2 linked regions of the Ovis aries genome follow. The protein of the gene in region 1 binds, or shares a complex with, the protein of each later gene. Links are inferred from orthologs where the notes say so. Each region holds a gene or a part of one and is shown on either strand. Other genes may lie near its edges.

The links. Proteins that work in one complex are often made in the same cells at the same time.
Region 2: the proteins of GALR1 (region 1) and GAL are in contact, whole or in part, in a cryo-EM structure (PDB 7WQ3), measured with the Homo sapiens proteins. The link is inferred for Ovis aries from reciprocal best matches to the Homo sapiens genes GALR1 and GAL. Residues at the interface, in NP_001471.2 of Homo sapiens: Glu32, Gln92, Thr94, Val95, Tyr96, Leu98, Pro99, Thr100, His112, Gln174, Phe177, Arg180, Gln184, Phe186, Cys187, Trp188, Glu189, Gln190, Ile266, His267, Ala270, Phe275, Leu277, Ser281, Phe282, Arg285; in NP_057057.2 of Homo sapiens: Gly33, Trp34, Leu36, Asn37, Ser38, Gly40, Tyr41, Leu42, Leu43, Gly44, Pro45, Val48.

What each region holds. Positions count from the first base shown.
Region 1 is NC_056076.1:2,338,480-2,341,990, forward strand, and holds part of GALR1 (galanin receptor type 1), read right to left. Parts: intron 1,984-3,511; coding exon 1,666-1,983; 3' UTR 1-1,665. UniProt on the Homo sapiens protein: Receptor for the hormone galanin. The activity of this receptor is mediated by G proteins that inhibit adenylate cyclase activity.
Region 2 is NC_056074.1:42,492,024-42,496,025, forward strand, and holds the start of GAL (galanin), read left to right. Parts: upstream 1-1,201; 5' UTR 1,202-1,385; intron 1,386-1,639; coding exon 1,640-1,720; intron 1,721-2,546; coding exon 2,547-2,601; intron 2,602-4,002. UniProt on the Homo sapiens protein: Endocrine hormone of the central and peripheral nervous systems that binds and activates the G protein-coupled receptors GALR1, GALR2, and GALR3.

The DNA.
Region 1 (3,511 bases):
AATTTTTCCCTGGCCATCAAACATGAAAAGTCATGATTTTCCATCCTCTGACAATTTTCTCCTCTTCTGTCCAGAGAACTATTTATAACTTGGTAAATGTAAATACGGTTAGCTGGAAGAATATAGTTAGTAAAATAAATTCACAAACTAGAGAAGCTAACATGCAGACTTACACTGAGTTGATCTTTTTGATCCAAAATTTGATATTTCACTTGAAGTCCTCATATGACTCAGGTATGCATTACACAAAATTCTTTTAAAAATTTTTTCTTGCTTTTGTATCATGCTAAAATACATCAGTCTTGCAGTCTGAAAATTATTTACTAATATAGAATCATTTCATCTTTTCATACCATTTTCTCATTATTAAATTTGAAACTGTCACAAAAAACTACATTTGAAATTAAGTTATGATGATTTGAACCCCAGATTAACATTTCTAGAGGGATCAATGTTTGGGATAAATATGCATTAGACATCATTACAAATTTGATGAAAAAAGCATTTGTTTGTACATGATATGCCCAGCTATGTCCAACCATTAGATTATTTTTTCAGAGTTTATCTGAACCAGACATTTCACTACACTTACTAACTTTCCTCACATGGCGTGACCATTGTCTCATGTGGCTTATAATTCAGAGAAATTATTCTGAATTCATAGAAATTATTTTCTGTACATCATTTTCACTGACAGTTTAAAAATTCTCCTTTTGAGTAGATTCCACTCAAGGCACAGCTAATACCTGAAAATACATATATGTGTGTGTCGATATGTAAACTTTTAATGTCCAGTTTCATTCTCAGAAACTCATTCACAGCTTCCACCATGAGAACAGTCGCAGGTGGTGGTTTTCCCTGATTTTTTTGGTCATCTCAACGAAGACTAAGTTCACAGCGTAGTTTTTCACTGACATCCTGATGGCTGGATGCCCCAGGGTCATGCTGCTGACTGCCTGAGATAAGCTTATGACCTCATGACTGCAGACGGACACAGCACGTTGCAGAAGCCCCATGCACTGTTTACAGCTGGGAGCAGATGCAGCAAATGTGCAAATAAGCTTATTTCCATCAGATGGATATGTCTTAATACAAACGGCCACAAAAATAAAACTCAGGATCAAGTGTCCACAATCGTATCTGAAACACATATAGTTTCAGCATTACCACTGATCTTACAATTAGAACAAAAGCATGTGTTTTCTAATTACATCTGTTTCAAAACAATGTAGATCACAAATATTCCTGACCACCTTGATAGGCCCTTCTTCCTTATCCTACAAAGAATACAGATCTAGAGAGTCCAATTATAGACTCTTTACAGTCTTTAAATAAAGTTTCTTGAGAAACTTTCATTTCTCAAGATGTATAAAACTATATTACTCTTTTTTGCTTATGGAATAGAATTTAGAAATAAAATTTAGAAATGGCCTTCACATCGCTTCTCGGCCTTTTGGCTAAGATCAAGTGTAGAAATGGCCTTCACGAGACCTAGGGATTTTCCAGGTAGATCAAAGTACTTTTTAAACACAAGTGGAATTCAATCACTATAATATGAATTGTTGTTAAGACAGCAAGTTACTGCCTTGCTTAACACCCCAATGTATTTCTCTGTGTCTGGTCCACGTGCATCCAAATACCACATTTTGAAATAATACTCTTTTTTCACACGTGAGTACAATTGGTTGATGGTGGGGTGTCTAGTCGACTTTTATTTTCTTTAGTGTCATTAAGAGGTGACTCCTTGCGGGCTTGGCACTTGAACACTTGCTTATAAGCCTTCCTGAAGTTTTCGGAGAGAAAGGCGTAAATGATGGGGTTCACGGAGGAGTTGCTGTAGGCCAGGCAGTGGGCAGTGATCCTGAAGAAGAAGGAGGCGGGGGTCAGCGGGAACACCCCAAACTCAGCCCAGAGATGGATGACGTGGTGGGGCAACCAGGAGATCCCGAAGACCACCACCACCACCAGCACCGTCTGCGCGGTCTAGGAGAAGGGAAGGAAGCAGAGGCGCTGGTCACAACAGGGGAGAAGGGAAGGAGCAGAGGCGCTGGTCACAACAGGGGAGAAGGGAAGGAGCAGAGGCGCTGGTCACAACAGACAGGAGCCCAGCACCCTAGCTCATGCACTGACAGAGGGAATTTCCTGTACATTTTCACAGAATCAAGTGCGTCCTAAACCTGCTCTGGGTGCTGACCTTCCCTCTGCAGTCACACCCCTAAAGGAGCTAAAAGCGTGGCCGGGTGGTCCCCTGTCGGCTTTGCCCCTGGAGAGAAGTGATCCCACTGGGATCCATGAATTCTGGCAGGCAGGGTGGAGGGGAAGGAGAGAGAGAAGGAAGGTGCTTATTTTCCCTCCAGCCTCACACCATGGAGCCCGGACTCCGCCACCAGGAAACCGTGGTGGACCCACAGGTCCTTTCACAGGAGAAGCTTGGACCCCCGCCCTGCAGGAATGTCCTTATGGTATGCCATGACTTTGCTCTTACTTCCTGTGAGTTAGAACCCGATTGTCACAGCCCACAGCCCCCAGAACGTGAGGCTTAAGATAGCAAGTCTTCTAGAAGAGACGCGGGGTAGCTGACTGACTCGGAGAGGACGTTTGTCCAAGAGGCGGGCTGAAGCCAGGGAACCCGGCAGAGATGGGAGAGGACGTGCTCGGACTTCAGGACGAGGTTGGAGCAAGGGCGACCGGCCAGGGCACCAGAGACGGGAGTTACGCTCATGTTTACTCTGACCACGTGATGGTCAGAAGGGGCCACGACCCATGCAAAAGCCAGCCACCTCCCTGGGCCTCAGCCTCCTGGCCTGTGACTGGGGTGACCCAGCGTGATGATTCTCTGAGTGGGCCTGGTCCACTTAACACCTTCAAACAGCTCAGGTACAAAGCTGACCGCAGGGTTTCCAGGGCGGCAGGCTTCCAGACTGAGGCTGCCGCGTGCACAACACAGAGAACAGACCAGCACCCTGCTCCTGGACGTCAAGGATCATCTGCTATCCGACCGTTACCCACTAGTGTATGGGATGCGGTCCTGATGATTCAATAACCATCTAGACGCAATTACACCTACAGATAGCTCGGAGCACACCCGCTGTCCTGCCTAAGGCAGGAAGGCCGTTTCTGTGCCGCACAAAATGCATGCTCTCTGGATATTCTGTTTCACTGCTCCTTTCAGGAGGTTTTCACTAAGTAACGAGCTGAGGGCAGAACCACACCCCGACAGCTTACAGCTGAGAGCCACACTGTATCTGTATCCCTGCAAGGCAACTGTCAGCAGGGCGGCCTTTCTATGGAGGGTTTGTTACCTTGTGTGTGTTTACCCAAGGTCATTCAAAATCTGCCTTTTATTTTAGCAGGTCTACTGGTCTTTTCAGAACCATGAACGAGATTCCTTTCCTTGGTCTGCCTGTAGCTTTGAAATATGAGTGACTTAAGACTGCAATATAAATCAGGAAAGAATATCAATGGGTACTTACATAAACTTTATCATTCACCAAATGATGCTCCCAAAAGA
Region 2 (4,002 bases), on another chromosome or scaffold:
GGAGCTCGAGCAGATTTTCTCCTGATGGCTTCCTCCTTCCTCAGAAGCCTGGAGGCACCCAGCCTGTGTGTCCCCAGCTGTCTTTGCAAGCAAGGCCTGGCCCAAGCTAAGGCGCACCCTGCAGTCAGCCACCGACAGCCCGTTCCCAGGGGACTCTGGCCGCCTGTCCAGGGCAGCCGCACCCTGCTGTCCGCTGCCCACCCACCCAGCCCTTGGCCGCCTCTGGGAACCTTGGCGGGTCTGGTTCCAGGCCCTTAAAGCCTCAACCACTACCTGACCCTGCTCCCAAGAGCGCTGCCTAGTCCCGAAGGGCTGCAGGTACCCCTTCCCGCCCAGCAGCGCAGTGGAATGGAGAGGGGCGCCCACAGCCCTCAGGCCGAGAGCCGACCAGCCAGCAGACCCACAGCCTAAGTGCGCTTGCGGATCCGCCCCCTTTTAGAAAAAGAGGAGGGGCTTCCAGGTGGGGCTAGTGGTAAAGAACCCACTTGCCAATGCGGGAGACAGGTTCGATCCCTGGGTCGGGAAGATCCCCTGGAGAAGAGGGTGGCTACCCAATCCAGTCTTCTTGCTTGGGAAATCCCACCGACAGAGGAGCCTGGCGGGCCACAGTCCATGGGGTCGCAAAGAGTCGGACATGACTGAAGCGACTTAGCCCACCCCAGGGAAAGGGGCCTGGGGTCTGGGTAGGGAGGGCCACTGGGCACGGGAGGAGGAAGCTGGGCGGGCTTCAGGCTGCTGTCCTTCCCCTGTGGATGGTTCTCGAGGCTGAACTCATAATCCTGCCGCTACAACAGGGTGCCTGGTCGGCGGTGCCCAGGACTCCGCGATCGCGCCCAGCTCAGAGTGAGGGCTTTCGGCTGCGGAGCTCCCTGCGCAGGGGCCGCTGTGCCTGGCTCGGGGGTCGCGCCAACAGGCGTGGGGTCTCCGCCGCGGGCTGGGGGCTCTCCATTCGCGGCGATGGGGGCTCTCCCGCCAGGTGCGGGGGGGCGCTTCTCGCCATCCCCGCCAGCCCCACTCGCAAGGCAGGACCACCGCGCGCCCCGCCGCCCCCGCGGGCGCTCCGAGGCCCCCCGGGGACTGAGTTCCGGTCACTCCCGCCCACTCGGGCCGGCGAGGGCGCAGGAGGCGGGAGCGGAGCCCGTGACGCGGCCGAGCGGCTCCGGGATGCGCCGCATAAATAGCGGCGGCGGCGGCTCCCGGCGCGGACACGTCGAGGGAGCCCGGCCGCCCTGCGCTTCCCGCCTCCGCGTCCCGAGGCCGCGCCATGCGGTGAGCGTCCCGGCCCTGCCCCACCCGACTCGACGGACGCGCGGCCCCGCCGACACAGGACCTGCAGACACCCCAGCACCCGCAGACATCCCCCGACCCTCCGGGCCCCGCTCAAGGTACCGCGCCCCCGAGCTCACCCCACTCTTTCTCCTCGTTCCCCTCTCCAGAGTGCGCGCCTGCCGGTGGACCCCCCCCGGGGCTGGCGCGGCGCCTCCGCCCTGGCCGGGCTCTCTCCTGGGCCCCTGGCTCCTGGCTGCTCCTCCTGCACCCGCAGGGGTGGGGGTGGGGGTCCGGAGCCCCAGGCCGACGTGCGCCCTGGGGAAGGAGGCCGGTCTCCCCGCGCCGCCGCCCACCGCCCCTTCCCTTGCAGATGCCCAGAGGCTCCATCCTCCTGCTCGCCTCCCTGCTCCTCGCTGCGGCCCTTTCAGCCACCCTGGGCCTCGGGTCACCGGTAAGCGCAGGGCGGGGGCAAACGCCCCCCAAGCCGAGTCTCCTTCTCGGCAAAGGGGGCGACCGCATCAGAACCAGACTGGGGGTGGGGGTGGGGGTGAGGTGAGTGCCTTGTGCCAGGAACAGAGCCATCGATTCTGCCTCGGGGTGGGAGGGGGTGTGGGGGCTTCGGAAAACTGGGGAGTGGGGCGGGGGGCGGGCGGCGCCGGGAGGGGCCCGAGTCCTCAAAGCAGATGGGTGGCGGGCTCGGATCCTCCAGGGCCACTAAATGGGGACCCTGCGAACCGGCGGTTAGCGCCTCAAACCAGTGAGGGGTGAACCCCATTTGGTTAAGTTCAGTAGAGCGTCAGTTACCCCGTTTGCCAGCTGGTTTTAGCAACACGTGTCTTCAGCATCATTTAAAGCCAGTGGGTGCACTCTGAGTCTGTGGTCTGCAGCTCTAAAGGGATTCTTGGACAAGGCAGGCATTGCTGTTCTCCTGTCGAGCGTAGCTTACTGGGGTGCAAGTGTGGAATGTCTTGCAGTTTCCCAAAGTACATGCATTATTCTGATTCCTGTATCCTGCCTGGAAAGTCTGGGTGAATTTCACTTAATGTCTTTCTGATTTCATTTAAAGCTCTTGCTTCAACAGTTTGCCTCTCTCAGCTTATTCTGTGAGAGTCGAGTCTTTGTCATTGAAGCCGTGTGGCTATTTGAAGTAGATGCTGACTTCACAGGCTGCCGTGGTGGGTTATATGAGCAGAAGCTGCCGCTGGGGGCTTCTTTGAGCCATCGTGGCCTGTACCAGGCAGGATGCTTGCCCTCTGACCCCTGCCCTCCCGTTTAAGGTGAAGGAGAAGAGAGGCTGGACCCTGAACAGTGCCGGCTACCTTCTCGGACCACGTGAGTGAAACCGGGCCGGCATCTCGGGCAAACCTGCTCTGGTCGGGCTGGCTGCGGCGCTGGTGCTGACCCTGCTCTTCCTGAAACGTTGGGGTCGCCGGTCATTGCTCCGAGCCCTTGCTTTTCCAAGTCAGATAAAGGGACAGGGGAGTTTTCCCTGAGACTTCGAGGCAGGGTGGGTTTTTCTGTAGGTTTAACTGAAGGGACTGACCCAGGCCCTTCCGAGGCCTCGCCTTCCTCTGGGATTCCCAGCCTCAGCCCCTGTTCAGGCCTCCCCGGGGGAGCGTCTCGGAAGGCAGACGCTCCTTGGGGCCCTGTTCTGGGCCCTGTCTCGGGTCCCTCTGTCTCTCCCTGAATGCTCCCGTCCATCCTTGACCTGAAGAGGCCAAAACATGCTCGTGCCAAGACTGAGCGTCGATGGCTCTCTTTCTGCTCCGACTCTGCTCCTGGAGCCGTCACGCAGGGTGGCTGACCCTTGGGGTCTTATCTTTGATGGGACATCGTCTGCACTTGGTGTGAGTAATTTCACTCCGTTCAGGATGCAGAACTCCAGTGAGTGTAGACTAGTGGCGCCCGTCAGAGAGTCCTAGTTCGACCGCTGCATTTACGGGCAAGCACATGGACCCCGGGGCTCAGTGACCGGCTCGATGCCGTGGAATTCCTCCGTGGGCACAGGAAGTGGCGGAGGTGGGAAGTGGCTCGCCTCCAGGCGCTAAAGGGGACGCTGCGGACCCCAGGCTGCATGCCGCCCACCCCCACTCTGCTTCCTGCACGTCCTCTGTCCGCAGTGACCCCTTCAGGTTTTGACCTCAAGGAGGGGTGAGGGGAGACCTTTCACTTCCCATGTCACCCCACCCCTACTTTCAAACTTGCAGGCATGGTTTCACTGGGGACAGCCATCAGCCTTGAAGAAACCCCTCCTCTGTTTATTTCCTGTTTTCCCACAGGAAAGGAGGCAAACAGCAAATAGCTCTTGTCCCAGTCTCTCCAGAGTCACTGGGAAGAGCCATCCCCATTTAAACGATCCTGGGAAGCTGCTTTTAGTTTTTAACCCTCGAGTTTAAGTACAGACTCTTCTTCCACTTCACATGGTTATTTATCTGATCTGCAGGGTCCCTGAGAGCCGGGCTTTGAGAAACGCAGAGACAGAAATGAAAACAAGGCGGGCCACAGGCAGGGTCCCCTGGGCATCTCTGGTCTCAGAACAAAAGCCGCGGCCAGTCCTCAGGGGTCTGGGCACTGTGGGTGGAGTGGCCTTGCCTGCCGGACACCGACTCACGAGTTTTCCTGAGCCCTCTGCAGCCCGGAGTCCCTTCCTCCCAAGAGAGCACCTCATCTCCGGTGCTTCTGGCCCCATAGAAAGGAGGAGCCCGTGTTGAAAATGTGTTTATCAAGGGCATC